Linked DNA regions of Stegostoma tigrinum. The protein of the gene in region 1 purifies or fractionates together with the protein of each later gene. This does not show direct contact. Links are inferred from orthologs where the notes say so. Each region holds a gene or a part of one and is shown in the gene's direction. Other genes may lie near its edges. The genes, in order: activating molecule in BECN1-regulated autophagy protein 1-like, serine/threonine-protein kinase Nek9, bag5 and dnaJ homolog subfamily B member 1-like.

Region 1 (7,039 bases):
GTTTTGATTTCTCCACATTCTCACCTAATAGCCTTTTCGCAATTTGCTTCTCAATAATCTCTCAAAATGCGCAAAGAATCTACTACCAATTATTTTCATTCAAAGGGTGGGGAATCATTAGAATTCACTAATCAGAGGGCAACATTCCCTTTAAGCACTTCAGAATCTCTCAATGGCTGCACAATCAAACCTTCCATAAGCTGCTGTCACACGCAGACCTTCAAGACTGATAAATCCATTAGACCAAATGAGTTACATTCCAGTGTCAAAGTTTTTGGCTAGAGATTCATGCATTCGTGATCATCTTTCAAAATGATACAGACACTGAAAGCATTCCTGCAGGCTGAAGAGTGGCAAATGTAAGCTCATCATTTAAGAGGGAGAATGGACAACTACAGATCTGTTAGTTTGATGTCAGTACTAAGGAAACATTAGTATCTATTGTAAAGGATAATATTTACTGGACACAAAAATCAGGCAGAGTTAACATGGATTGAATGAAAGGAAATCAAATCGACAAACTTGGTCTTTTATTGAGAATGTTACTTGTAGTATAGATAAAAGTGAACCAGTAGATGTGCTGTGTTCAAATTTTTGGAAGGCTTGATAAAATCTTCAATGGGAGGTTAATTGCAACAAAACTAAGGGTCTAGGCCTGAAACGTCAAGCTTTCCTGCTCCTCTGATGCTGCTTGGCCTGCTGTGTTCATCCAGCTCTACACCTTGTTATCTCAGATTCTCCAACAACTGCAGTTCCTACTATCTCTAAAGTGTATGGGTTTGCGATTAGTATACTGGCACAGATTTTAAAATTGGTTAACAGGCAGAAAGTAGGAAGCAAGTAATTGTCATGACCGCAGTCTGTGGAGTATTGCAAGGATATTAAGGTAGGAATATTGTAGACAGGAATTTCCCTTGGCTAGCATGCCTAAAACCAGGTGTCACAATTCCAGAGCAATGGCACACCATTCAAGATTATGGGGAATCTATTTTCACCCAGAGGATGGGGAATTGCTGGAATTCACGATCCCGGACAGCAACATTCCCTCCAAGATGTGCGACTGCTGAGGGTGGGGTCTGCACACGCCAAATAGCATGCTTATATGTTTGTTTCCATAAACTGTTAGTGTGCACGGACATGGGAAGGCTGCACAGTGGGGAAAAGTCGTACGGGAGCTTTGCCGGAGGGGTAACTTAATCACTGAATATGTTCAAGATAGAAATCAGTAAGATTCTCATTCTCAAATGATAACAGCGGGTGTGGAAATAGCGTAGAAAAGTGACTTTGGAGTAATGGTCAACCACGATTTAATTAGATGGCGGAGCTTCTCGACGGGCTGAGTGGCTGATTCCTGTGCCTAAGTAACTTGCATGTTTTGGGTCACAGCCTGCAACAGGTCTTCGGTACTACCAGGAAAAACAAATAAAAGCAGCCTCACAAGCCAACGAAATCCACTGAAAAGCTGTATGTTGACACAGACAAACTGCATTGCATATACATGAAGGACACTGGACAGTGAAGTTTCCAGTCGCGATTTAAGAAATCAACGGCCCGTTTAATTTCCGGGGTAAAAAGACAACTTTTAAACGCCACTGTCTTGCGGCCGAGCAAATCCTTCAGTCCTGAAACTGCACCGAATTTTTCTTTTTTTTAAAAAAAAATACGGATAGAACTGCGCACGCTGCAAATCAGAAACGAAAGCGGGAATTGCCGGAAAAGCTCAGCACGTCCGGCGGTATCAGAGAAGCGAAAAATCAGTTCCGAAGGAAGGGTCATCATCACTCGGCCCGAACTGGCTCCCCGACATCGCAGCCAGCAGAGGAGGCTATTCGGCCCGCAGTGCCTGTGCCAGTGCCCAAAAACCAGTCAACAACAACAGCAACTTACATCTTAGCCGCACACAAGTGGGAATAAACGCCGAAGCTGCACGGTGCCGTAAAATTATGAATAAGTGAGACTTATATTAAAAACAAACCCGCGTTTTCAGCGGGTGAGGACGGTACCGATGGGTTGTAGCCCCTACCCAGGCCCCAGCGGACACTCACCCCTCACATTCCAGCAGACTTCTCCGGCACCGCCCGAGTTGAACGGAGCGGCGGCCTTGGCTCCCGTCGCCCCAGCCCGGTGGAGGGGTTGGGGAGAAGCCGTCCTCAATCGCCAATCACACCCGCGATCCCAACAACAAAAACGGCGTCGCCAGCGGCCTCCCGGCCTCAAACTGCCTCTGTTTACCTCCGCCACGCTCCGCGAACATCGCCCCTCAGCGCCGGCGCGCACATTCGCCATCATCACACACCACAACTCCCGCCACTGAAACTAAACCAAGCACGAGTGAAAACGCTCCAGTAAATAAAAGTCGGCGACGCGTCTTCTTTTCACCGTGATAGAATTAGGATTTTATTCTTCCTCCCCACAACGACTACGAAGCCCGCTATGTCGAATGTGTGGTCGCCAAACAGAGAGTCATCTTGTGTGGCCTACAAACCCCAGTATGCCCTGCGCCCAGAGGGGACTACATTTCCCAGGAGGCAAAGGGTAGCAGTGACCCAGTTTCCAAAGTAGTGAGAGAGTTAGGCAGAGATTTCAGCCCTCTGTTTTGGAATCTTAAGTTGAAGTTGCAGGGAAGTTCTCTCTGACTTAGGAGAATTTCAAAGGCTGATTGTTTTAGAAATACAGATGAGATGCATTCTGACCACTTTCCTCTTTTTTTTTGAATGTTCCATTCCCCATTCTTTCATTGTCCCCAACAGGATGTTCTGCAGATATAAGGAGAAAACGCTGGGTACGCTCAATATTATTTAGAATTTTCAGAGTTCCAGCATCCAGTATTTTATTTACAGTCCAATGAACATCGATGCCCTCTTTGTATCCTGCGTTACTCACCAGTCGTGACTGCATTGCAAATATCGGCACACTATTTGGCCTTCAGCTGAACTTATTACTGTTCTTACCCAATTCACACATGGCAAAGTTTAATAGTTTGTATTCTGATGTGAAACTGACTGTGTTGAAAGATGGTCAATATAAATTATTACTAAACCAAGACTTGGCCCCAGAATGGGTAAATAACTGAAATGAAACTGGCAACTTAACATTATACAGCATTACACACTGAATCATACACTTAGGTGAGGTCAAAGATGAGAATTTTTACAGTCTAACTTGTTATATGATCATGAGTTACAATTAATGTAATTTTCAAGAACACCAAACTTCCTTCAAATTGTCTTTTGGACAAGTGCAGTAATTCAAGAAAATTGGTCTGTCAGCGGTAGTGCTTTGAATTGTGCCTCAGAAGGATGCATGGTTGCATTATTCAGAGCAAACAAAGAAATAGTTTCCTAGGTTTAAGCCTCATCTTGAAACTTGAATATGTAACTTTTTGTGCAGCGCAGTTAAAGTACTAGATTTAAAAAGGTGCTGTTTTTCAGAATAAATATGAAATTGGGATCCCATTTGTTCTCTCAGATGGATGTAAGATATTCCCAAGAGAAATTTCTTGGGAATATTCAAACAAGAGAATGGAATTCTGGCCTAAATGTATTCTTCAAATGTAACTAAAACAAGTTATCTGATCAGTTATTTCATTTCTGCCTGTTGTGACTTTTTGTGCAAATTGAATTTTATTTTTTTGTCCGTTACAACAATGATGACTGTTAAAAAGGTACATTATTGGGATATCCTGAGAGAATGTGTGAGATGTTGCATCAAAATAATATTCATCTCCTACTCTATTAAGATTGTGGTTCTCTGAGCATTGCCAAAGCTAAGATTAGCTAATTAAATCTATATCCAGGATTAAACTTTTTAGCCTAGTAATGTGATTTGTTCTTTATTGAATAACGTTATGTAATTGTTAACAATAAGAACTCAAGCACATTGTACAAACCTTGCCTTAATGAGACTGACAATACAGGCTATCATAATTCACATTCCAGTATTTTCAATAGGAGGTTTGCCAAGACTGAAGGTTTCCAGGTTTCCCACACGATTGCAAAAACCAAACCATGGATGATGAGGCACAGATACAACATGTGAACTGAAAACCCTTTCAACGTGTCAACTAAGCCTGTAATGCATGGTGTATTCTTTTCAAATAGATACACATGTTTGATGTGAACTGTTAAGCTGAGATACTGCGAGCGGGCATTTAAAGTGGTCCAGCAGCCAGTCGCGGAAGCAGGCGGTGGTTGAACAATTTCACTTGCTCTGGCCTTGGCTGTCTGAAGTCTTCCTGTTGGGATGAATGGTCGATGTTGTAGGTTCCATTGTTCTGGCCTGGCTCCGGATTGCATCCATTGCTCCGTATCAATTACACTGGTCTGGGAGAGACATTGATGTCTGTAACACAAGAAATTATGGAATATGTGAAAGGTTTCTAGGCCACACCAAAACTTGGCCTTTTGGTGGACAGTTGTATTCCGCTCAGTGATGGATACTAACCAGTTTGTTTGACGTACGGCACTTTCTACCTGTCTTCCCCAGAGGTAAGTGAGGCAAAACTCCACAGTCTTGTGCCTGGTATTCTGTGGATTAGACAAGTTGTCATGGTATCTCTCAGGGACATTTTTCCTTCCCCCCCCCCCTCCCGCCTCCTTCCACCCACTGCTCAGTTTCCAGGAATGAATTTCTCCTGTGGCAGTTCATAAATGTGAAGCACTGTCCTTGTTCACTGTGTTCCGGGGCTGGGGAATAGTTTAATGCTGTTTCAAGAGGGGGAGTCCTACACAAAATGTCTGCCCAGGCTGTGTTTTAACCATCAATTTTACAAGCACAAAATGGGAAGCTCGTTAGGCTGGAGTGGTTCTGGGAAACATGAAACTGGCCCCCTTTTTACTGACATTTTAATTTGATGAATTTATTGTGATCCAGTAGGCCTGTAAACGACATTTCCTCTTTAATGTTGTAATCTGAGAAATGAAAAACCCTGATAGAGGGCCCTCTTTCGAAATAGTTCGACTATAAGACGAGGCAAGAATTTATGTAAATGTAATCTTTTAATATTTCAGTATGTTTAGTAGTCTAACAGTTTGAGTCTGAGAGGTGACATAATTGGTGTGTAAAATTAGGAGGGAATTTGAGTAAATAGAGGTGACAAATTTTCCTTAACAGAGGTGTCAAGAGCTTGAAGTCATTGGTAGAGGAAAGATGAGGAAACTTTTTTTCGCCCATGCAGAGGCTGGTCGAGACATAAACTGTCACCGCAATTAAGTAAATATTTGATTCTGCTTTGAAGAATTGTTACCTGCCAGACTTTTGATCTAGCGTGATAAGGTAGGATTAGGCTGGGAGGGCTCTTTGTTAGATGCCACTTCCAGATTGACCTGAATGGCTACGTTATATGTTATAAATTTGGATATTTCAAAATATCATTCTCAAAGTGTAGTCATTGTTGTGCTGGCAAATGTTGTAGCTCACTGCAGGCTTTAAAATCTTGATTTTAGGAAAATGATATTGAGCGTGGTGAGGAGTTCCAAATTTGAGATGGCCTGGACCTTCCTCCAATGTCATTACAGACATTTGAGTAGAAAATTCCTGAATCGCTTTGGTATATACTGGAATGTAAAAACTGGTGTGAAACATGTCAAAATTTATGTCAACCATTGAGTTATTAGGAAATTGTCAAAGCTGTGCTGTTTTTATTCTTTAAATTACTGTTTATGCGTGAAAATGGATCTCCAAAGCTAACAAGCATCAGACACATCAAGTTTTAAAAACAGTTTATAATATTGTGGCGCAAACAACACGATGCCATAAATATGTGTTAAAGACACAGAATATATTTTATTTACCTCAAAAATGAGATGATTTTAAAAAATTTACATAAAGAAATCCCCACGAAACACAAGCAGAATGATTAGACTTGCTTATAAACATTAAAATGTAAATTCTAAGCCTGATCATACTGGTTAAAGATCAGGAAATTTCCATGTAGCCATATGAATTACAAACAAATAGATGATTTGCTCCTTGCTTCCCATTCCTATTGAATCCTCATATCCTTTGTCCCCTTTGGTAGTGTATCTATGTATGCCTTTAAAATTTTAAATCACCCAGCCTCCAATGCTGTCTGGGGAACAGAATTCGAAAGACTCATCACCCTCTGAGAAAAAAATAAAACGCTTAGTTTTCATCTGAAATGGTTTACCCATATGATCTTCATTTTTAAACCATTTTTCCAGTTTGTCATTGCACCACAATGGGAAGGAACCTTTCAGCATCCACTGCATATAGTCCCACAGGATCTTATATGTTTCAGCAAGACTATCCCTTATTCTTCTAAACTCAAGTGGATACAGGTCATAGATAGTAGGAACTGCTGATGCTGGAGAATCTGAGGTAACGAGGTGTGGAGCTGGATGAACACAGCAGGCCAAGCAGCATCAGAGGAGCAGGAAGGCTGACGTTTTGGGCCTAGAAGAAGGGCCTAGGCCCAAAACGTCAGCCTCCCTGCTCCTCTGATGCTGCTTGGCCCTCTGTGTTCATCCAGCTCTACACCTTGTTATCTTGGATACAGGTCATGTCTGTCCAACTACTCCTCAAAAGATAATTTCCCCATCCTAGATATCCATTGAGTTGAAGATATTCTGAACTATTTTCGATGCAAGATTAGTCTTCCTTAAGTAAAGAGACCAAAACCTTACATACAGCTCTAGATGTAGTCTTGCTAGTGCTTTGCACAAGACCAGCAAAACATCCCTATTTTTATGTTTAATTCGCATTGGAATAAAATAAAGATATAATATATGCTGCATTTTCATACTAACCTTGTATGGTTTGTGTACCAGACTACCTTGATCCTTCTGTACCTCCAGTGTTGTGCAATCTTTCTTCATTTAAATCATATGCTGTTTTCAGTTTATCCACATTATACTCCATTTGCCAAATTTTCCTGCTCAGCAAACCTACCCTTTGCAGACTAATTGTATCCTTTTCACACTTAACTTCATTTTGTATCACCAGCAAAGTTAGCAACTGTACATTTGTGCACTCTTCTCCATCCTCCAAGTCTTGAACTACAGTTATGTATGGGATGGGT
Region 2 (7,188 bases), on another chromosome or scaffold:
CACGGCCCAGACCTACTGAGGTTCTCCAGCAACTCCTGGTGTCAGACACAGAGGATCCGCAGATCTTCGTCTCGTTTCAATTCAACCGTTACAGAGATGTTACTGCACACCTTTAGGGAGGGTGGGACTTGAACACAGGCCTCCTGACTCAGAGACAGGGTCATTACCACTGCACCACACGCAGGACCCTCCAGAGGGTCACGTGCACGTTGAAGGGCCTCATGGTCAAAAGGAAAACACTTGAGTGTCACAGCGGTCCTCCCGCCACCAGGGAGAATGAGAGATAATGGGAACTGCAGATGCTGGAGATTCCAAGATAATAAAATGTGAGGCTAGATGAACACAGCAGGCCAAGCAGCATCTCAGGGGCACAAAAGCTGACGTTTCGGGCCTAGACCCTTCATCAGAGAGGGGGATGGGGAGAGGGAACTGGAATAAATAGGGAGAGAGGGGGAGGCGGACCGAAGATGGAGAGTAAAGAAGATAGGTGGAGAGAGTATAGGTGGGGAGGTAGGGAGGGGATAGGTCAGTCCAGGGAGGATGGACAGGTCAAGGAGGTGGGATGAGGTTAGTAGGTAGATGGGGGTGCGGCTTGGGGTGGGAGGAAGGGATGGGTGAGAGGAAGAGCAGGTTAGGGAGGCAGAGACAGGTTGGGCTGGTTTTGGGATGCAGTGGGTGGGGGGGAAGTGCTGGGCTGGTTGTGTGGTGCAGTGGGTAGGGGGACGAACTGGGCTGGTTTAGGGATGCGGTGGGGGAAGGGGAGATTTTGAAGCTGGTGAAGTCCACATTGATACCATATGGCTGCAGGGTTCCCAAGCGGAATATGAGTTGCTGTTCCTGCAACCTTCGGGTGGTATCATTGTGGCACTGCAGGAGGCCCATGATGGACATGTCATCTCGAGAATGGGAGGGGGAGTGGAAATGGTTTGCGACTGGGAGGTGCAGTTGTTTTTTGCGAACCGAGCGGAGGTGTTCTGCAAAGCGGTCCCCAAGCCTCCGCTTGGTTTCCCCAATGTAGAGGAAGCCGCACCGGGGACAGTGGATGCAGTATACCACATTGGCAGATGTGCAGGTGAACCTCTGCTTGATGTGGAATGTCATCTTGGGGCCTGGGATGGGGGTGAGGGAGGAGGTGTGGGGACAAGTGTAGCATTTCCTGCGGTTGCAGGGGAAGGTGCCGGGTGTGGTGGGGTTGGAGGGCAGTGTGGAGCGAACAAGGGAGTCACGGAGAGAGTGGTCTCTCCGGAAAGCAGACAGGGGAGGGGATGGAAAAATGTCTTGGGTGGTGGGGTCGGATTGTAAATGGCGGAAGTGTCGGAGGATAATGCGTTGTATCCGGAGGTTGGTAGGGTGGTGTGTGAGAACGAGGGGGATCCTCTTGGGGCGGTTGTGGCGGGGGCGGGGTGTGAGGGATGTGTCGCGGGAAATGCGGGAGACGCGGTCAAGGGCGTTCTCGATCACCGTGGGGGGAAAGTTGCGGTCCTTAAAGAACTTGGACATCTGGGATGTGCGGGAGTGGAATGCCTTGTCGTGGGAGCAGATGCGGCGGAGGCGGAGGAATTGGGAATAGGGGATGGAATTTTTGCAGGAGGGTGGGTGGGAGGAGGTGTATTCTAGGTAGCTGTGGGAGTCGGTGGGCTTGAAATGGACATCAGTTACAAGCTGGTTGCCTGAGATGGAGACTGAGAGGTCCAGGAAGGTGAGGGATGTGCTGGAGATGGCCCAGGTGAACTGAAGGTTGGGGTGGAAGGTGTTGGTGAAGTGGATGAACTGTTCGAGCTCCTCTGGGGAGCAAGAGGCGGCGCCGATACAGTCATCAATGTACCGGAGGAAGAGGTGGGGTTTGGGGCCTGTGTAGGTGCGGAAGAGGGACTGTTCCACGTAACCTACAAAGAGGCAGGCATAGCTGGGGCCCATGCGGGTGCCCATGGCCACCCCCTTAGTCTGTAGGAAGTGGGAGGAGTCAAAAGAGAAGTTGTTGAGTGTGAGGACGAGTTCAGCTAGGCGGATGAGGGTGTCGGTGGAGGGGGACTGGTCGGGACTGCGGGACAGGAAGAAGCGGAGGGCCTTGAGGCCATCTCCATGCGGAATGCAGGTGTACAGGGACTGGACGTCCATGGTGAATATGAGGTGTTGGGGGCCAGGGAATTGGAAGTCCTGGAGGAGGTGGAGGGCGTGGGTGGTGTCACGGACGTAGGTGGGGAGTTCCTGGACCAAAGGGGAGAAAATGGAGTCCAGATAGGTGGAGATGAGTTCGGTGGGGCAGGAGCAGGCTGAGACGATGGGTCGACCAGGGCAGGCAGGTTTGTGGATTTTGGGAAGGAGATAGAAACGGGCCGTGCGGGGTTGGGGAACAATGAGGTTGGAGGCTGTGGGTGGGAGGTCCCCTGAGGTGATGAGGTCGTGAATGGTGTTGGAGATGATGGTTTGGTGCTCGGGTGTGGGGTCATGATCGAGGAGGCGGTAGGAGGTGGTGTCGGAGAGTTGGCGTCTGGCCTCGGCGATGTAGAGGTACCATACTACCACTGCGCCACCCTTGTCTGCGGGTGTGATGGTGAGGTTGGGGTTGGAGCGGAGGGAGCGGAGGGCTGCCCGTTCTGCGGGGGAGAGGTTGGAGTAGGTGAGAGGGGTGGAGAGGTTGAGGCGGTTGATGTCTCGATGGCAGTTGGAGATGGAGAGGTCGAGGGAGGGTAGGAGGCCTGGGGGTGGTGTCCAGGAGGAGGACTTGTGTTGGAAGGGGGTGAAGGGGTCAGCGGAGGGAGGGTGAGGCTCCCGGTTGAAGAAGTAGGCGTGGAGGCGAAGACGGCGGAAAAACTGCTCTATGTCCGACCGTGACTGGTGTTGGTTGATGTGTGGTGCCCACGGCCGACGCCGACGGAACCCCGCCCACGGCCGGCAAAACCCCGCCCATGGCCGACAGAACCCCGCCCACGGCCGACGACCTCATCGCTCCGCCCACAACCTCCACAGCCTGTAACCCCAGAGGAGACAGCCACACTGAACCCTGCCGAATCTTCACCTTCCCCCCAGACCTCCCACTGACTGAGGACGAACGGTCAGTCCTGAGCAAGGGGCTCACCTTTGTCCCCCTACAACCAGGAAATGCTACACTGTACCCGGTGCGGCTTCCTCTACATTGGGGAAACCAAGCGGAGGCTTGGGGACCGCTTTGCAGAACACCTCCGCTCAGTTCGCAACAAACAACTGCACCTCCCAGTCGCAAACCATTTCCACTCCCCCTCCCATTCTCTTGATGACATGTCCATCATGGGCCTCCTGCAGTGCCACAATGATGCCACCCGAAGGTTGCAGGAACAGCAACTCATATTCCGCCTGGGAACCCTGCAGCCATATGGTATCAATGTGGACTTCACCAGTTTCAAAATCTCCCCTCCCCTACTGCATCCCTAAACCAGCCCAGTTCGTCCCCTCCCCCCACTGCATCACAAAACCAACCCAGCTCTTCCCCCCCACCCACTGCATCCCAAAACCAGTCCAACCTGTCTCTGCCTCCCTAACCTGTTCTTCCTCTCACCCATCCCTTCCTCCCACCCCAAGCCGCACCCCCAGCTACCTACTAACCTCATCCCACCTCCTTGACCTGTCCGTCTTCCCTGGACTGACCTATCCCCTCCCTACCTCCCCACCTACACCCTCTCCACCTATCTTCTTTACTCTCCATCTTCGGTCCGCCTCCCCCTCTCTCCCTATTTATTCCAGAACCCTCACCCCATCCCCCTTTCTGATGAAGGGTCTAGGCCCGAAACGTCAGCTTTTGTGCTCCTGAGATGCTGCTTGGCCTGCTGTGTTCATCCAGCCTCACATTTTATTACCAGGGAGAATGGTCACTGTGGTCCTCCCACCGCCAGGGAGCGGCGTCAACGTGGTCCTCCCGACACCAGGGAGAATGTTCACTGTGGTCCTCCCACCGCCAGGGAGCGGCGTCAACGTGGTCCTCCCGACACCAGGGAGAATGGTCACTGTTGTCGTCCCGCCGCCAGGGTATGGGTGGAGGGGGGTCAGTATGGTCCTCCAGCCGCGAGGGGGCGATAAGCGCGGGTGTCAGGTGTTGGGGGGAGAAAGAGCGGTCCTCCCGCCGGCAGGGAGCGGCGTCAACGTGGTCCTCCCGCCGCCAGGGAGTGGGGTCAGGGTGGTCCTCCCGCCGCAAGGGGGCGGACACTGTGGCGGGGGAGACGCGGCCTCGGGCCTCAGGCTGTGAGGGGTGCAGCTTCTCTGTGGGCCCGAGACTGCGGCGATGGAGCTAAAGCCGTTCGAGCGGCACCTGGCGTCGGTGAGCTCCGAGTTCGGTGGCAGTGAGTCGGGCGGCACAGGCCCAGGATCCGGAGACTCTCTGCTGAGTGAGGCCGGGACCGAGGTTCACTACATCCCGGTGAAGATCCTGGGCAGAGGTGCCTTCGGGGAGGCCACCCTGTACCGGAGGACGGAGGTGAGGCCCGGGCCTGGGAGGGGCCGGTCAGGAAAACAGAACAGAGCCGGAGCGCAGTGACAGCAACGAACAGGGTCCTCGCCATGTCCACCGTCACAGCAACCGGGACCTTCACTGGGTCCAGCCGCCACCCACAACCCCCCAGCCCCAGCACCCCCCACCCACAGCCTCCCCCCACCCCCCCACACACAGCCTCCCCCCACCCCCCCACCCACAGCCTCCCCCACCACCCCCCCATCCACAGCCTCCCCCCACCCCCAGCCTCCCCCCACCCCCCCCACCCACAGCCTCGCCCCACCCCACCACCCACAGCCTCCCCCACCACCCCCCCACCCACAGCCTCCCCCACCACCCCCCCATCCACAGCCTCCCCCCACCCCCCCCACCCACAGCCTCCCCCCACCCCCCCCACCCACAGCCACCCCCCCACCCACAGCCTCCCCCCACCCCCCCACCCACAGCCTCGCCCCCCCCCACCCACAGCCTCGCCCCACCACCCCCCCACCCACAGCCTCGCCCCACCCCACCACCCACAGCCTCCCCCACCACCCCCCCACCCACAGCCTCCCCCCACCCCCCCCCACCCACAGCCTCCCCCCACCCACAGCCTCCCCACCCCGCACCCCCCCACCCCGCACCCCCCCACCCCGCACCCCCCCACCCCGCAGCCACCCTGCCAGCCCCCCGCCGCCTCCCCTGTCCCCCTCCGACCGCGCGGCGCTCCCTCAGCGCTGACCCATCCACAACATTGCAATGTTTTTTAAATTAGTTGTGTTGCCTGCATCCTGCTTTGGAGATTCCTGTCCTAGCATCATCGGATCTCTCTATTTCACTTTAGCCGACTGTTTACTTTTAAATAGTGCCACTTTGGAAAAGCGCAGTGTTTTCTCCATTGCTTTCCATCTTCCCCCATCCTATCTGACTCATTCAACCTGTATGCAGTGCCGTTCTGTCATTTTGTCGACTTAGTTTTCTTTGTATGTTTGTGTGATCAGAAAATTTTGTATCTCTGATTTCAGGCTCTCCATTCAATTCATAGAACATAGAACATAGAACAGTACAGGCCCTTCGGCCCTCGATGTTGTGCCGACCTGTCATATCAATCTGAAGCCTATCTCACCTACACTATTCCATGTACGTCCATATGCTTGTCCAATGACGACTTAAATGTACCTAAAGTTGGTGAATCTACTACCGTTGCCGGCAAAGCGTTCCATTCCCTTAGTACTCTGAGTAAAGAAACTACCTCTGACGTCTGTCCTATATCTTTCACCCCTCAATTTAAAGCTATGCCCCCTCGTGCTCGCCGTCACCATCCCAGGAAAAAGGTTCTCCCTATCCACCCTATCTAATCGTCTGATTATTTTATATGTTTCAATTAAGTCACCTCTCAACCTTATTCTCTCTAATGAAAACAGCCTCAAGTCCCTCAGCCGTTCCTCGTAAGACCTTTCCTCCATATCAGGCAACATCCTAGTAAATCTCCTCTGCATCCTTTCCAAAACTTCCACATCCTTCTTATAATGCAGTGACCAGAACTGTACGCAATACTCCAAGTGCAGCCGCACCAGAGCTTTGTACAGCTGTAGCATAACCTCTTGGTTCCGGAACTCGATCCCTCTATTAATAAAAGCTAAAACACTGTATGCCTTCTTAACAGCCCTGTCAGCCTGGGTGGCAACTTTCAAGGATCTGTGTACATGGACACCGAGATCTCTCTGCTCATCTACACTGCTAAGAATCTTACCGTTAGCCCTGTGCTTTGCCTTCTGGTTACTCCTACCAAAGTGCATCACCTCACACTTGTCCGCATTAAACTCCATTTGCCACCTCTCAGCCCAGCTCTGCAGCTTATCTATGTCTCTCTGCAACCTACAGCATCCTTTGTCACTATCCACAACTCCACCGACCTTAGTGTCATCTGCAAATTTACTAACCCATCCTTCTACGCCCTCATCCAGGTCATTTATAAAAATGACAAACAGCAGTGGACCCAACACCGACCCTTGCGGTACACCACTAGTAACTGGTGTCCAGGATGAACATTTCCCATCAACTACCACCCTCTGTCTTCTTTCAGCAAGCCAATTTCCGATCTAAACTGCTATGTCTCCCACAATTCCATTCCTCCGCGTTTTGTACAATATCCTACTGTGGGGAACCTTATCGAACGCCTTGCTGAAATCCATATACACCACATCAACCGGTTTACTCATCTACCTGTTTGGTCATCTTCTCAAAGAACTCAATAAAGGTTTGTGAGGCACGACCTTCCCTTCACAAAACCGTGCTGACTATCCCTCATCAATTTATTCTTTTCTATATGATTATAAATCCTATCCCTTATAACCTTTTCCAACACTTTACCAACAACTGAGGTAAGGCTCACTGGTCTATAATTACCAGGGTTGTCTCTACTCCCCTTCATGAACAGGGGAACCACATTTGCTATCCTCCAGTCATCTGGCACTATTCCTGTAGACAATGACGAGTTAAAGATCAATGCCAAAGGCTCAGCAATCTCCTCCCTGGCCTCCCAGAGGATCCGAGGATAAATCCCATTCGGCCCAGGGGACTTATCTATCTTCACCCTCTGAAGGATTTCTAATACCTCTTCCTTGTGAACCTCAATCCCACCTAGTCTAGTAGCCTGTATCTCAGTATTCTCCTCGACAACATTGTCATTTTCTGGAGTGAATACTGTTGAAAAATATTCATTTAGTGCTTCCCCTATCTCATCT
Region 3 (7,547 bases), on another chromosome or scaffold:
CCCTATTTCCTTTCTTGAAGACAGGAATTACATTTGCCTCTCTCCAGTCCTCAGGTACGACTCCAGTGGACAGCGAGGATGCAAAGATCTTCGCAAGTGGCGAAGCAATTGCATTTCTCGTTTCCCAACGTAGCCGAGGACAAATCTGGTCTGGGCCTGGCGACTTGTCAATCTTAATGTTTGACAAAATTTTCAGCACATCAGCTTCCTCTATCTCTATCTATTTCAGCATGCACACCTGCTCTTCAAAGGTTTCATTCACTACAAAGTTCATTTCTTTCATAAAGACCTGAGCAAAAAACTCATTTAGGGCTTCCCCTATCTCCTCAGACTCCACACACAAGTTCCCTATGCTATCCCTGATCGGCCCTACTCTTTCTTTGACCATTCTCTTATTCCTCACATAAGTGTAAAATGCCTTTGTGTTCTCCCTAAACCGTTCTGCCAAGCCTTTCTCGTGCCCCCTCCTGGCTCTCCTCAGACCATTTTTGAGATCTTTCGTCGCCTGCCTGTAATCCTCTAGAGCTGAGCTTGACCCTAGCTTCCTCCACCTTATGTAAGCTACCTTCTTCCTTTTGATGAGAAGCTCCACCGCTCTCGTCATCCAAGGTTCCTTTATCTTACCCCTTCCTGCCTGTCTCAGAGGTACATATTTATTCATCACTCGCAACAACTGTTCCTTATACAGTCTCCACATGTCTATAGTGCCTTTACCATGGAACAATTGCTCCCAGTCCATGCTTCCTAACTCATGTCTAATCGCATCATAGTTTCCTCTTCCCCAATTAAATATCCTCCCATTTTGCCTAATCCTCTCCTTCTCCATAGCTATGTAGAATGTGAGGCAGTTATGGTCACTATCACCAAAATGCTCTCCCACCACAAGATCTGATACCTGCCCCGGCTCGTTTCCGAGCACCAAGTCTAGAATGGCCTCTCCCCTCGTCGGCCTGTCAACGTACTGAGTTAGGAAACCCTCCTGAACACACCTTACAAAAACAGCTCCATTCAAATCTTCTGCTCGAAGGAGGTTCCAATCAATATTGGGAAAGTTAAAGTCACCCATTACAACAACCCTACTACGTCCGCACTTTTCCAAAATCTGCCGACCTATGCTTTCTTCAATCTCCCTGCTGCTATCAATTTCTTTCAGTGTTTTTTTAATAATGCAGAGGATGGTGGGGGTGTCTGGAATTCGCTGCCTGGGTAAGTGGTGGAGGCAGAAAATGAAAACTCTTCAACATATCTGAATCTGCACTTTAAATGCTGTAAGCTGCAGGGCTACGGCCTGTGGTCAGGAATAAAGAATTAGAAAGATCATCTGGGTATCTTTGGGACAGACTGAACAAGATGTGCCAAACGGTCCCATTCTGTGCTGTATCATTTCTATGGTTCTGTTTTGACTGGGTGATAAATATTAGCCAGGACAAAAGGATAACTTCTTTGTAATTCTACATAGTATGAGGGGATTTTTTTTGTCCATGTGAGAGAACATGCAGTGTGAAAAAACTTGAAAAATCTGTGGATGCTGTAAATCAGAAACGAAAACAGAAGTTGCTGGAAAATCTCAGCAGGTCTGGCAGCATCTGTGAAGATAAATCAGAGTTAACGTTTCGGATCCAGTGACACTTCCTTGGAGCAGTTGGTGGCGAGGAAAATGTCAGTTTATGTGCTGAAGATCGGGTGGAATGAGTGGGTTGGGAGTGAACGATAGGTGGGAATAGTGTCCAAAGACAGAGAAGAACAGTTGGACAGACAAAGGAGTGGATAATGATCTGGCTGGGAGGGTGAATAGCTGTTAATGGAGACGGTTATTGGCTAACAATAGATAGTGTGTAATGGCAGAATATGTGAAAACAAGGCCTGGTGTGTAAAGTAGGGGTCTAAGTCATGGAAGAGTTCAGGCCCTACAATTATTGAACTTGATATTGAGTCCGGAGGGCTGCAGGGTCCCCAAGCAGGAAATGAGACGTTGTTCTTCCAGCTTGCGCTGAGCTTCACTGGAACTGCAGCAAGCTAGAGACAGAGATGATGGCCAGGGAACAGAATGGTGTGTGAAAATGGCAGGCAGAGTCTTTTTTTGTGAGCAGAATGCAGGTTCTGTGAAGTGGTCACCCAGTCTATGCTTTGTTTCCCCAATGTACAGGAGACCACATCATGAGCAGTGAATGTAGTAGACTAGATTGTGCAAAGTTCAGGTAAAGTGTTGCTTCACCTATAAAGTATGTCTGATCCCTTGGATACCGAGGAGGGTGGAGTTAAATAAGGAAGTCTAGCGTACTGGCCTTGATATTACAGAGGCTGAGCGCCTGCTCTTAGATAGATCCTCCTATTGTACCTGGATCATGACCTCACCATGACACATCAGACCATTGTATCTCTCACGGTCAGTGACCTCAGTTCAACCGTCACTGCCTCGAAGCTGATAGTTCCCCCAGCTCCACACAGCTCGCTTCTACCTCCTTCCGAAAATCCATAAACAGGACTGCCTGGGCAGACCCATCGTTTCAGCCTGCTCCTGTCCCACAGACCTCATCTCTTACTATCATGATTCAGTCTTTTCTCCCCGTTCCAGTCCCTGCCCATATATGCCTGAGATTCCTCTGACACTCTATTCCGGTTTCAGAATTTCCAGTTTGCAGGCTCCAGCCACTACCTTTTAACTCTTTACACATCCATCACCCCCCCACACACAGAATGGTCTCAGGGTTCTCCACTTCTTCCTGAATGGAGGCCTGAGCTGGCCCCACCCTCCTTCACACCCTCAACAACTTCATTTTTAACTTCTCTCATTTGCTTCAGGTCAGAGGGATGGCCATGGGTATCCACATCAGCCCAGTTACTCCTGTCTCTTAGTTGGGAACATGGAACATTTCTTGTTCCAGTCCTATTCCACTCCCACCCGCAACTCTTTCTCCAATATATTGATGATATTATCGGTACTAATTCCATCTCTCATCAAGAATTGGAAAAATTCTTTGATTTTGCTTCTAATTTCCACCCCGGCCTAACTTTCACCTGGTCTATCTCTGGCTCTTCCCTTCGTCAGCATCTGTTTCCATTTCTGGGGACAGACTAACCACTACATATCCACTATAAACCCACCGACTCCCACAGTTACGTGGATTATACATCCTCGCAATTCTGCCTTCTCTAAAGATTTCAGTGCATTCTCCCAGTTCCTCAAACTCGGTCGCATATGCTCCTATTGGGCCAACTTCAACAAGGGAGCTTCTGAAATGTCCACCTTCTTCCTCAACGATTCCCCAACACCATTGTCAACAAGGCCCTCAACCAGATTCGACCCATCTCTCACACATCTGCCCTCAGCCCCTCTCTTCCCTCCCACAACATTGATAGGGTCTCTGGATTAACAGTCCAGCAATAATACCACTAGGCCATTTTACAATTTTACAGGTCTGATTGAAAAAGAGATTCACAAATTACGTCTAATGAGGGGAAGGCATGAAGCTTTTCCTGAAAAGAACTTCTACAGCACTGGAATTTTTGATGTATGTACTTCATAGCAAAGTAGCAATCAATCTTTGATTGCAGTCAGTCTCAATTAGTCTCAAAATAGCTATCGGATGAAAGCAGCTACAACTCAAACAGCTCAATATCCAAGACAAGACAGCCCACTTGACCATCCCATTCACCACTTTAAACATTCATTCTTTATGGCAAACTGCATGACACGGGTGGCTGTAATGTGTACCATGCAATACACTGCACTAACTCTCAGAAGGTTTTTCCGCCAGCGTGTGCTAAATATTTTAAGATACTGCATCCAAAACGCAAAGGCTACAATTGCGGCATTTAACATGACAGCTTGAGATGGCTGATATACGTGAACGATTCTGCCAACGGATGAAAATTTTCCTCCATTGTCCACTTCTAACAATAATATTCAGCATCCACGCTGAGTTATCTCTTAATAAATCAAACCTTCGTTAAAGCAGTTTGCGGGGAAAAATCAAGCACAGTACAATATTATGTTTATATCCTACGTTAGGTAGATCAGGACAGTTCCCGAGAGGGTAATAAGTTTCAAATAACATCGACAGTCACCCTAGAGTTGCTTCACATTTACTAGAAACAGGAAAGTTGACATATACCTCGGTACCATTGTCACTTTGATCAGCAGCACTGCTCGAAACTGGACAGCACCTTCCTCCCAACACCACGTATTTGTCCCCTCCAGTTTCCTTTACCCGGGTACTATGAAATATTCTTGTTCTCGATAATTTTCCAACAAACGAAAAGACAGTTAGGCACCTACAGCTCATCACTGACAACACACAACCATCCGCCCTGTCCGAAGCTGTTCCAGTTTACGGCAGTAAGGAACCGACATCCTGTCGTGAAAGCGATCCGGCAGTTGGCAGGGTTTGGCTCTACGCATGTGCGTGGTCGAAAACTCTTCGAGCTATCGCTTTCCAGAGTTTCCGGGCGGGCAGTTGGCAGGGTTTGGCTCTACGCATGTGCGTGGTCGAAAACTCTTCGAGCTATCGCTTTCCAGAGTTTCCGGGCGGGCAGTTGGCAGGGTTTGGCTCTACGCATGTGCGTGGTCGAAAACTCTTCGAGCTATCGCTTTCCAGAGTTTCCGGGCGGGCAGTTGGTCGGTGAGTGGAAGGATCCAGAAGGAGCTTCTGGTGGGTTTGACAGGGAGTGAGCTCGTCTCCCTGTCCCACTTCGGTGTGTTCAATCGGGCGCGCACGCGGTTTGGGAGCGAGTCTCGTGCATGCTGTCTTTCGGTATGACCGGTGCGGCCTGGCCCGTATGACAGAGCCTAACGTGGAGTTTATCTCTCGAAGCCTGTGCCAACAGGCCGTCCGGCTTTTGCTGCGCTAACGCCTCATGAGTTTACTCAGAGATACTAGGATCTGCCGATGACGGAGCCTAAGATAACAAGGTGTGGAGCTGGTGAACACAGCAGGCCACACAGCATCAGAGAAGGGTCCAGACCCGAAACGTCAGCTTTCCTGCTGCTCTGATGCCGCATGGCCTCTTGTGTTCATCCAGCTCCACACCTTGTTGCTTCATAAATTACATCGAGAAGTGAAGACAAACTGGCTGCATCGCAGTCAGTGATACGTTAATCATCCTAGTTCCCGTGTAATCTGAAGGCACGATATGTCCAAGGGAGATTTTCTCTAGCACCACCCCGCAATCCAGCATACCATATCAACATGATCTGTGATGCTTAGTATCCTTCCTTTTTTTATTTTTCAGTCACAGAATCCCTACAGTGTGGGAAGAGGCTCTTCGGCTCGTGGAGTCTGCACCAACCTTCCGAAGGGCAAGATAACAAAGTGTGGAGCTGGATGAACACAGCAGGCCAAGCAGCGTCTTAGGAGCACAAAAGCTGACGTTTCAGGTCTAGGCCCGAAACGTCAGCCTTTGTGCTCCTAAGACGCTGCTTGGCCTGCTGTGTTCATCCAGCTCCATACTTTGTTTATCTCAGATTCTCCAGCATGTGCTGTTCCCATTATCTTCCAAAGGGCGTCCAACCCTATTGCCGTAACTCCCCATTTATGGCTAATCCACCTAGCCTGCACATCTTGGGAGAAAACCCATGCAAATGCGGGGAGAATGTGCAAACTCCACGTAGACAGTCACTCGCGTTTGGAATTAACTTGGGCCCTGGCTTAGTGAGGCAAAAGTACTATAGTGAGCCGCCCTATTCAGGAATTATCTGATCGAGCCCTTTTTCATGACGCACTATATGTGTAAGCCTGTAATTTGTTCCCTAAATGAATAGTCTTTTGGGAATAAGAATGACCTGCCATCCGACCAATTCTACCCTTGCGTGATTTATATGCAGGATCTGAAGTTACATCGAAGTTAAGAGCAGGATTTGACTCGGCTCTGCCATTCAATATCATCACGGTTGATTATTGAACTCAATACCTTAGGCCTGCCCATTCCTCCTCCTCCTTCCTTCGCGCCTGCTTCCCCACCCGCAAATATGCCTTAATCACGAGTCACAAGAGCTATATGTAGGTACATATAGTTGTATACTTTGAAAACAATGTTTTGGTCTCAACTAGTTTCTGTGGTCATGAAATCCACAGGTGTACCATTGTTCAGGTGTAGAAATTTCTGCAGAACTGAGTTCAAAAGGTTTACCTCTCGTCCTTAAATTATGACCTCTGGTCTGAACTCCCCCACATTTGGGAACATTCTTCCTCCATCCAACCTGTCTAGCCCTGTTAGAATTTTGTAGGTTTCTACGAGATTTCCCCCCCTCATTCATCTAAACTCCAGTTAATACAATTCTAACTGTGTCAATCTCTCCTCATACATCAGTTCTACCATCCCAGGATTCAATTTGATAAGCCTTCACTGAACTTACTCAATAGCAAGACACCCTTCCCCAGGTAAGGAGACCAAAACTTCAGTCATATTCCATGTGTGGCCTGAATAATTGCAGCAAGGGCATCCTCATTCCTGTATTCAAATACTCAAGCTTTGAAGGCCAACGTACGGTTTGCTTTCTTTGCTGCTGCACCTGTGTGCTTATTTTCAATGACTGGTGCATGATGACACCAAGTCTCATTGAACATTCTCCTCTTAATTTACAACCATTCAAATAATGATGTATTATCAAAGTGGTACTTTCTTATCAGTCCAGTTGAAATAACATATTTGCATGAAAACTTGAAACTTCAATATTTGAAGCAAATTTCCTGGTTACCACCACACTAGCCTATGCTTCTTTAAGGAACTAGAGCCAGCTCTTTGATAATTACTTCGCTACATAATTTCATGGAATAGAATCATAGAACCCCTACAGTGTTGAAGCGGGTCATTCATCCCATCAAGTTTGCACCAAACCTCCAAAGAATATCATGTCCAACCCAACACCCCCAACCCCCATCCCTACATTTCCCATGGCGAATGCACCTAGCCTGCACACTGTGGGTAATTTAGCATGGCCAATTCCCCTAACCTGCACACCTTTGGAGTGTGGGAGGTAGTGGAGGAAACCCACCTGCCCACTCCCATGCACAGATGGGAAAATGTACAAACTCCACACGGCCTGAGAGTGGAATCGAACCCAGCTCCCTGGCACTGTGAGGCAACAGTCCTAGCCACTAACCCCTATTGAGCGTGGCTGACACCGTATGGCTTTTCTCATCCATATATCTCTATGTAATATTTGAGAAAATGCAGGGAAGGTTTCACTTTGCATACATTTTGTAAACACGCAGTGAGGTACAGTTTGTTAGCAGCTATATTTTAGGCAACTGATCACAATGATCATCACCAGAATTCTAGTTAAAAGAATTAACAAAACAGTCCAAAGTTAATTGGTGGACAAACTAAGACAACAGGTGAATAACTGTAATTTAAAAATGATGTCTGAGTACAAATATCTACAAAACCTGACCTCCTTTTATCAATTTTCCAATACACAGTACATCAATATGTTCATTTTCAGGCTGGAAACAGCCCATGCAAACTTGCCATGCAAAAACTACATCCTCCCACTCCTGGTGGTACTGCTGAGACTGAATTTTGCATCTTTCAGCTCACTAGAAATA
Region 4 (7,336 bases), on another chromosome or scaffold:
ACACTTGGTTGAGGTCAACTACTTGTTGAGGACAACTACTTGAGGTCAACAGCACCAATGATATAGGTAAAAATGAGAATGAGGTCCTACAAGCAGAATTTAGGGTGTTAGGAGCCAGGTTAAAAAGTAGGACCTCAGAGGTAGTAATCTCAGGATTGCTACCAGTGCCACCTGCTAGTCAGAGTAGAAATGAAAGAATAGGCAGGTTGAGGGAAGGGTGAAATTGGTAACTAAATATCCCCAGATGTAGATGCTTTGGGCAGAATAGAAGGGGAAGTAAAAGGGGTGGAGGAGTTGCATTACTGGTCAAAGAGGGTATCACAGCTGTACTGAAGAAGGGTACTATGGAGGACTCGAGCAGTGAGGTAATACGGGCAGAACTCAGAAACAGGAAGGGTGTGGTAACAATGTTGGGGCTGTGCTACAGGCCTCCCAACAGTAAGCGTGAGATAGAGGTACAAATATGTGGACAGATTATGGAAAGGTATGGGAGTAACAGGGTGGTGGCGATGGGAGATTTTAATTTTCCCAACATTGACTGGGATTCACTTATTGTTAGGGGTTTAGATGGAGCAGAATTTGTAAGGAGCATCCAGGAGGGTTTTATGGAGTAGTATTATGTAGTCCAACTCGGGAAGGGGCCATACTGGATCTGGTGTTGGGGAATGAGCCGAGCCAGTTCGTTGAAGTTTCAGTAGGGGATTACTTTGGGAATAGTGATCACAATTCCATAAGTTTTAGAATACTCATGGACAAAGACGGGAGTGGTCCTAAAGCAAGAGTGCTAAATTGGGGAGATGAAGACTGTGGCAAAATTCAACAGAAGCTGGGGAGTGTGGATTGGGAGTAGCTGTTTGAAGGTAAATCCACACTTGATATGTGGGAGGCTTTTAAAGAGAGGCTGATTAGAGTGCAGGCAGACATGTCCCTGTGAAAATGAGGGATAGAAAGGGCAAGATTAGGGAACCATGGATGACAGGTGAACTCATGAGACTAGCAAAGAGGAAAAAGGAAGCATACATAAGGTCTAGGTGACTGAAAGCAGACAAAGCTTTGGAAGCACATTGGGAAAGTAGGACCAATCTGAAATGAGGAATTAAGAGGGTGAAAAGTGGTCATGAAATATCTTTAGTGAACAGGGTTAAGGAAAATCCCAAAGCCTTTTATTTGTACATAAGGAGCAAGAGGGTAACTAGAGAAAGGGTTGGCCCATTTAAGGACAAAGGAGGGAAGTTTTGTGAGGAGTCAGAGAAAATGAGTGAGATTCTTAATGAGCACTTTGCGTTGGTATTCACCGAGGAGAGGGACGTGACAGATGTTGAGGTTAGGAATAGATGTTTGATTACTCTAGGTCAAGTTGGCAAAAGGAGGGGGAAGTGTTGGGTATTCTGAAAGGCATTAGGGTTGGCAAGTCCCCAGTTCCAGATGGAATCTATCCCAGGTTACTGAGGAAAGCAACAGAGGAAGTAGCTGGGGCCTTAACAGATATCGTTACAGCACCCTTGAGCACGGGTGAGATCCCGGAGGACTGAAGAATTATTAATGTTGTCCCCTTGTTTAAGAAGGGTAGCAAGGATAATTCAGGTAATTATAGACCGGTGAGCCTGACGTTAGTGGTGGGGAAGCTGAGGGATGGGATCTATTTACGTCTGGAAGAAAATGGGCTTACAAGTGATAGGCAGCATGGTTTTGCACAGGGAAGGTCATGTCTTACCAGCTTGATAGAATTCTTTGAGGAAGTGGCAAATTTGATAGATGGTGGAAGGGCTGTGGATGTCATATACATGGACTTCAATAAGGCGTATGATAAGGTCCCCCATGGTAGGCTGATGGAGAAAGTGGAGTTGCATGGCATCCAGGATGTATTAGTAGATAGAAAACTGGCTGGGCAACAGGAGACAGAGAGTTGTAGTGGAAGGGAGTCTCTCAAAATGGAGAATGGTGACCAGTGGTGTTCCACAGGAATCTGTGTTGGGAGCACTGTTGTTTGTAATATACATAAATGATCTGGAGGAAGGTGTAGGTGGTCTAATTAGCAAGTTTGCAGATGACACTAAGATTGGTGGAGTAGCAGATAGTGAAGGGGATTATTGGAGAATGCAGCAGAATATAGATAGTTTGGAGAGTTGGGCAGAGAAATGGCAGATGGAGTTCAATCCAGACAAATACGAGGTGATGCATTTTGGAAGATCCACTTCAAGAGCAAACTATATGTAAATGGAAAAGCCTTGGGGAAAATTGATGCATAGAGAGATCTGGGTGTTTAGGTCCATTGTACCCTGAAGATGGCAACGCAGGTCGATAGAGTGGTCAAGAAGGCATACGGCATGCTTTCATTCATTGGACTGGGCATTGAGTACAATAGTTGGCAGGTCATGTTACAATTGTATAGGACTTTGGTTCAACCACATTTGAAATACTGCTTACAGTTGTGGTCGCCACATTACCAAGAGGATGTGGATGCTTTGGAGAGGGTGCAGAGGAGGTTCACCAGGATGTTGCCTGGTATGGAGGGTGCTAGCTATGAAGAGAGGTTGAGTAGATTGGGATTATTTTCTTTAGAAAGACAGAGGTTGAGGGGAGACCTGATTGAGGTCTACAAAATCATGAGGGGTATAGACAAGATGGATAGCAAGAAGCTTTTTCCGAGAGTAGGGGACTCAGTTACTAGGGGTTACGATTTCAAGGTGAGAGGAGGAAAGGTTTAGGGGAGATATGCCTGGAAAGTTCTTTACGCAGAGGGTGGAGGGTGCCTGGAACGTGTTGCCAGTGGAGGTGTAGAGGCAGGCATGACCGCGTCATTTAAGATGTATCTAGACAGATACATGAATAGGCAGGGAAGAGAGGGATAAAGGTCCTTGGAAAATAGGTGACAGGTTTAGATAGAGGATCTGGATCGGCGCAGGCTTGGAGGGCCGAAGGGCCTGTTCCTGTGTTGTAATTTTCTTTGTTCTTTATCTTTGTTCTTGTTCTTTGTGCTTGCTCTGGAAGATCCAACAAGTTTCAGGAAGACCAAAGAGAATCTTTCTCTGAGTTGCTGGTCCTCCAGGTGCAGTTGATATTTGTCTTGGTGTGTGTCCCCGGGAACAGACCGTCGAGCACACATACCTGTGTCATGGAGCTGCTCGGAATGAACCTCGACAAAAATCACTGCATCTCTCTCTGTATTTCGTTCGCAAAGGCACATTCCAGAAGGAGGTGTGTGCCAGTCTCTAACCCCACCTTGCAGCCACTTTGAGGGCAGCGTGCGGTGGTGCAGATTAACCGGGCGTACAAGAAGGATCTCACAGGCTGGAAAGTCTTCGGCTTTCAATTTAGTAAACACTCAGGTTTCCTATCCTTCCTTAAATAAAGCAGACTGGAGTCGTGGGCTCAACACTCTCTTACCAGTGATGTACAAGTAACCCTCCCTGTCATTGCTGCCCTTTCTCTTGCCCGGGGAGAAGTTGAATTTGGGGACCAAGAAGCAATTCCACATCTCGGAGATGAATGGATGAATGAAAACCGAAATAGCCACGGATGTTTTAAATCAGAACAAAAGTTGCCGGAAAAGCTCAGTAGGTCTGGCTGGATCTGTGAAGAGAAATCAGAGCTCACGTTTCAGATCCAGTGACCCATCCTCAGGAACTGACTGAATGAATGAGTGAATGCTGTTGCTGCGAGCATGTACCACAGCCCGGCCATCGCCTCGAGGGGGCGGGGTTTGGCGTAGAGGGGCGGGGTTTGAGTGTGGAGGGGCGGGGTTTGGTCTGTAGGGGCGGTGTTTATCGGGACGGCGTGGTTTTGGAGTGGAGGGGCGGAGAATGAGTGTAGCGGGGCGGGGTTTGAGGGTGGAGGGGCGGGGTTTGGTCTGGAGGGGCTGTGTTTATCGGGACGGCGTGGTTTGGAGTGGAGGGGCGGAGAATGTGTAGCGGGGCGGGGTTTGAGGGTGGAGGGGCGGGGTTTGTCCGGAGGGCAGGGTTTGGGATGGAGAGGCGGGATTTTAGGGTAGAGGGGCGGGGTTTGAGCGTGGAGGGGCGGGCTTTGGTGGAGATGCGGTGCGTTTGGTGTGGAGGGGCGGATTTGTCGGGGGTGCGGGTTTTGAAGGTGGAGGGGCGGGGTTTGTTGGGAATGGGGTGGGTTTGATGTGGAGAGGGTGGTCTTTGAAGTGGACGGGGTGTGTTTTGGTGTGGAGGGGGTGGGTTTGGTGTGGTGAGGCGGGGTTTGGAGGGGCGGGGGTATCGGTTTTGTCGGGGGGGTGGTGTGCGGAGGCCGGAGGCGGGGCTTGGACTGGTGGGTGGGATTTGGCGGTTGGGATCGGCGGGGCTGGGTGAGAAGGGGGCGGATCTGGTGAGGAGAGGAAGTGACGATGTATGGAATGTTCCTGAAAGTTCGAGCAATTTGTTGAAAGTGTTGCGGAGAGACGGTGAGAGCGGCGCGGCCTGGTGAGTGTTGCTGAGGGGTTCCGAATGTATCCAGGGTGAGGGGCATGTCCATTAGGTACATTGGCGGCCGAATGTATCCTTTCCCTTTTGTGTCAGGGCCCGGATACATTGTTTCCCCTTGCTACTTTGGGGAGAAAACGTTGTGGGTTGGGCAAGGTTTGAAGCTGTTGGAGTTAGGAAGGGGTGTGGACAGGACAGGGGCAGCCCCTGTGCCTGTTATTTGATAAATTGCCCCTCCCTGCCCTGTGTTGTGACAGACAGCCCGTGGGGGGGGGGGAAGCGGGTAGGGGGTAACGAGACTGCTCTTTCCCCATCATCGTACATTTTTCCAAAGGTTAGGGGAATGACAGGCCCTCCAGCCCAAGGTACTTTCAACGTAAACCTGCAAGGGTTAAGAACAGCCGTCAACTTCTACATCTCTCTCTTTCACCTTTCTTCCCCCGCTCCTCCCGTGTTCTGGTTTAATTGTCTTTCAAAGGGTGTATCCCATCCTGGCAGTAAACCAGAACTAAAGGGTCTTTACAATTCTACCCCCCCCCCACCCATAACAAAATTCCTTTTCTCAGCAACTCATAGGGTAACCTGACACTGACTGATCAGCTGTCAGATCCCAGCTGACATGGGGATTACAGCCAAAAGCAGAAATTGCAGGAGAAATCTTCTCAAAACTCGATTGCATGAGTAACTCAGTGGGTCTGGCAGTGTCTGTGGAGAGAGAGAGAGAAATGCAGTTAACATTTTGAGTCCTGCTGACCTTTCAGAACTTGAAAAGGGTAACCACACCAGCTAGCTGGTGAAACCAGGCCAGGACTTATTTGGAATGGGAGATCTCCTTCAAAAAGGTGCCATTTGCATTGCGTTTCTGAGCTTATGATTTCAGTTGGTCTTTTGTCAGGGGAGGGGAGGGGAGCTAAAATCTTCAAATGGTTGTGGTTTTGCTTTCTCTCCATTGCTTGCTAATTTCTTTGGGCTCTGTAATCTTTGCAACCCCATTGACAGAGTTGTGAAGAACTCCCTGAAATCAGTACAGTAGGCCTAAGGGCCTCTTTCTGTGCTGTGTAACTTTATAACTCTTTTCTCTTCTATTGCAGTTGTGTATCTGGAATGTTAGCAAAAACTTAAGGAGGTTATCTTTTCTGCCATCAGAAAAGATGATGAAGTGGGGGGTGTGGTTGACTTGTGAAAGGAGAGAAGGGTGACCTATACAGAGTCGGGGAAAGGACTTGTCAGAATTGTCAGGTGTGCAATTGATTTGTCATATGTACCAAAGTTTAGTGAAAAGCTTTGTTTACCAGCGGTTCAGGCAGATCATAGTAAGCGAGGATGTACAGGTCAAAAAGACATAGACAGGCAAACAGGATGTGTGCTAGGTGTGATCAATGTTAGTAAGATCAGTGTTGTTTGATGCTAGACAGTCTGTTTATCAGTCTGATAACAGCTGGCAAGCAGCTCTTCCTGAATCTGCTGGCCCTTGTGTTTGGACTTCTGTATCTTCTGCCTGATGGAAGAGCTTGTAGGAGGTCATTACTGGGTTGCAGTGGGTCTTTGATGTTGGCAGCCTTTCTGCGGCTGTGAGCTGTGTAAATGGAGTCCATGGATGAATGGTCATGAGGCAGTGAGAAGGTCCATTGATCCTTGAGTAATGCAGGACAATATCTTGAGGGGCATGGATAGGGTGAGTGGGTCAAGGCCTTTTCACTAGGGTTGGGGAGTCCAAAACTAGAGTTGGGAAGGGGGCTGGGGGTAGGATTTAAAAGGGACCTTAGGGGAAAGACTTGCCTGCAGAGCGAGGTGCCTATGTGGAATGAACTGCCTGGGAAGTGGTGGAGGCTTGTACAATTACAACATTGAAAAGACATCTGGATGGGTACTTGAATTGGAAGGGTTTAGTAGCTTGTGGGCCAAATGCTGTGTGATGGATCTGGATTGAGTTTGGATATCTGTTTGGCACAGGAGGGTTCGTGACTGCTTGTAAATGTTAATGACTCTGACTCACTGACAATGTTGGTGGCAACACAGGTAGGTTTGGAATTAAAAACCTAAACTAATGGTGGTTGGTGGGTAAGGGAAGACTTGTCTTTATAGCACCTTTCATGACCAGCATGGCTGTGGTATGTACTAGACGACTGAGATGTTTTTTACAGTACCAAAGTAGGTCGGGGGAAAGATACTGACCTGGGATATTGGGGAGGAACACCCTGACTTTATTTTCAAAATGCTGATTTTGTTTTTCCTCAAAAGACAGCTGGGAAGTAACATATTGAACCATGTGATGTGAACTTGAAGAAGAACCAAGGAAGGATTTTTTAACACAGCAATGGTTGAGATAGCTGGTCCAATTAGCAAAGAGCTCATGGGATCCAAGACAAAGTGGCACATTAGATCCAGAATTAGCTAAGAGCCAAAACGTAGAAGGAAGTTTCTCTGACTGGAAGTCTGTTTCCGGGGTGGGGGGAGCTGGCAACAAGTGAGGAAGATGGCCATAAATGGTGGGAAAACATCAGTGTACTGCTCACGTGGGCAGGGTAGTGGCAAATGGAATTAGTGCAGAAAAGAGAAGTAATGCACTTGGCGAGGGCCAGCAAGGCAAAGGATTACACTGTAAATAGCACTGTGGAAAGTATTGAAGTTCAGAGCGACCTTGATGTGCATGTCCATAGATCTGTGACAGTAGTAAGGCAGGTAGGTAAGTTGGTTAAGGTGTTTAGGATACTTGCCTTTATTAGCCAAGGTGTAGAATACTGCAGTAAGGAGGTTATGTATAAAACACTAGGTAGGCCACAATTGGAGTAATGTGTGCAGTTCTGATCGACACACTATGGAGAGAATGTGATTTTTCACTAGGGGAGATTTACCAGGATGCTGCCTGGACTGAAGGGTCTGAAATGTGAGGAAAGATTGGATAATCTCGG

Evidence for each region.
Region 2: the proteins of activating molecule in BECN1-regulated autophagy protein 1-like (region 1) and serine/threonine-protein kinase Nek9 purify together in Homo sapiens (affinity purification with mass spectrometry; 3 studies listed by BioGRID and IntAct, with this or other methods). This does not show direct contact. The link is inferred for Stegostoma tigrinum from reciprocal best matches to the Homo sapiens genes AMBRA1 and NEK9.
Region 3: the proteins of activating molecule in BECN1-regulated autophagy protein 1-like (region 1) and bag5 purify together in Homo sapiens (affinity purification with mass spectrometry, with the first as the bait; 3 studies listed by BioGRID). This does not show direct contact. The link is inferred for Stegostoma tigrinum from reciprocal best matches to the Homo sapiens genes AMBRA1 and BAG5.
Region 4: the proteins of activating molecule in BECN1-regulated autophagy protein 1-like (region 1) and dnaJ homolog subfamily B member 1-like purify together in Homo sapiens (affinity purification with mass spectrometry, with the first as the bait; 3 studies listed by BioGRID). This does not show direct contact. The link is inferred for Stegostoma tigrinum from reciprocal best matches to the Homo sapiens genes AMBRA1 and DNAJB1.

The regions. Positions count from the first base shown.
Region 1 is NC_081370.1:2,164,043-2,171,081, reverse strand, and holds the start of activating molecule in BECN1-regulated autophagy protein 1-like, read left to right. Parts: upstream 1-4,032; 5' UTR 4,033-4,487; intron 4,488-7,039. UniProt on the Homo sapiens protein: Substrate-recognition component of a DCX (DDB1-CUL4-X-box) E3 ubiquitin-protein ligase complex involved in cell cycle control and autophagy.
Region 2 is NC_081363.1:1,271,501-1,278,688, forward strand, and holds the start of serine/threonine-protein kinase Nek9, read left to right. Parts: upstream 1-4,175; 5' UTR 4,176-4,255; coding exon 4,256-4,447; intron 4,448-7,188.
Region 3 is NC_081363.1:40,506,476-40,514,022, reverse strand, and holds the start of bag5 (BAG family molecular chaperone regulator 5), read left to right. Parts: upstream 1-4,622; 5' UTR 4,623-4,652; exon of another isoform or gene 4,653-4,695; intron 4,696-6,309; coding exon of another isoform or gene 6,310-6,380; intron 6,381-7,547. Other genes in the region: cytochrome c oxidase assembly factor 8, read right to left, coding at 4,116-4,286. UniProt on the Homo sapiens protein: Co-chaperone for HSP/HSP70 proteins. It functions as a nucleotide-exchange factor promoting the release of ADP from HSP70, thereby activating HSP70-mediated protein refolding.
Region 4 is NC_081388.1:21,035,738-21,043,073, reverse strand, and holds the start of dnaJ homolog subfamily B member 1-like, read left to right. Parts: upstream 1-4,315; 5' UTR 4,316-4,424; intron 4,425-7,336. Other genes in the region: c35h19orf67 (UPF0575 protein C19orf67 homolog), read right to left, coding at 3,388-3,478. UniProt on the Homo sapiens protein: Interacts with HSP70 and can stimulate its ATPase activity. Stimulates the association between HSC70 and HIP. Negatively regulates heat shock-induced HSF1 transcriptional activity during the attenuation and recovery phase period of the heat shock response.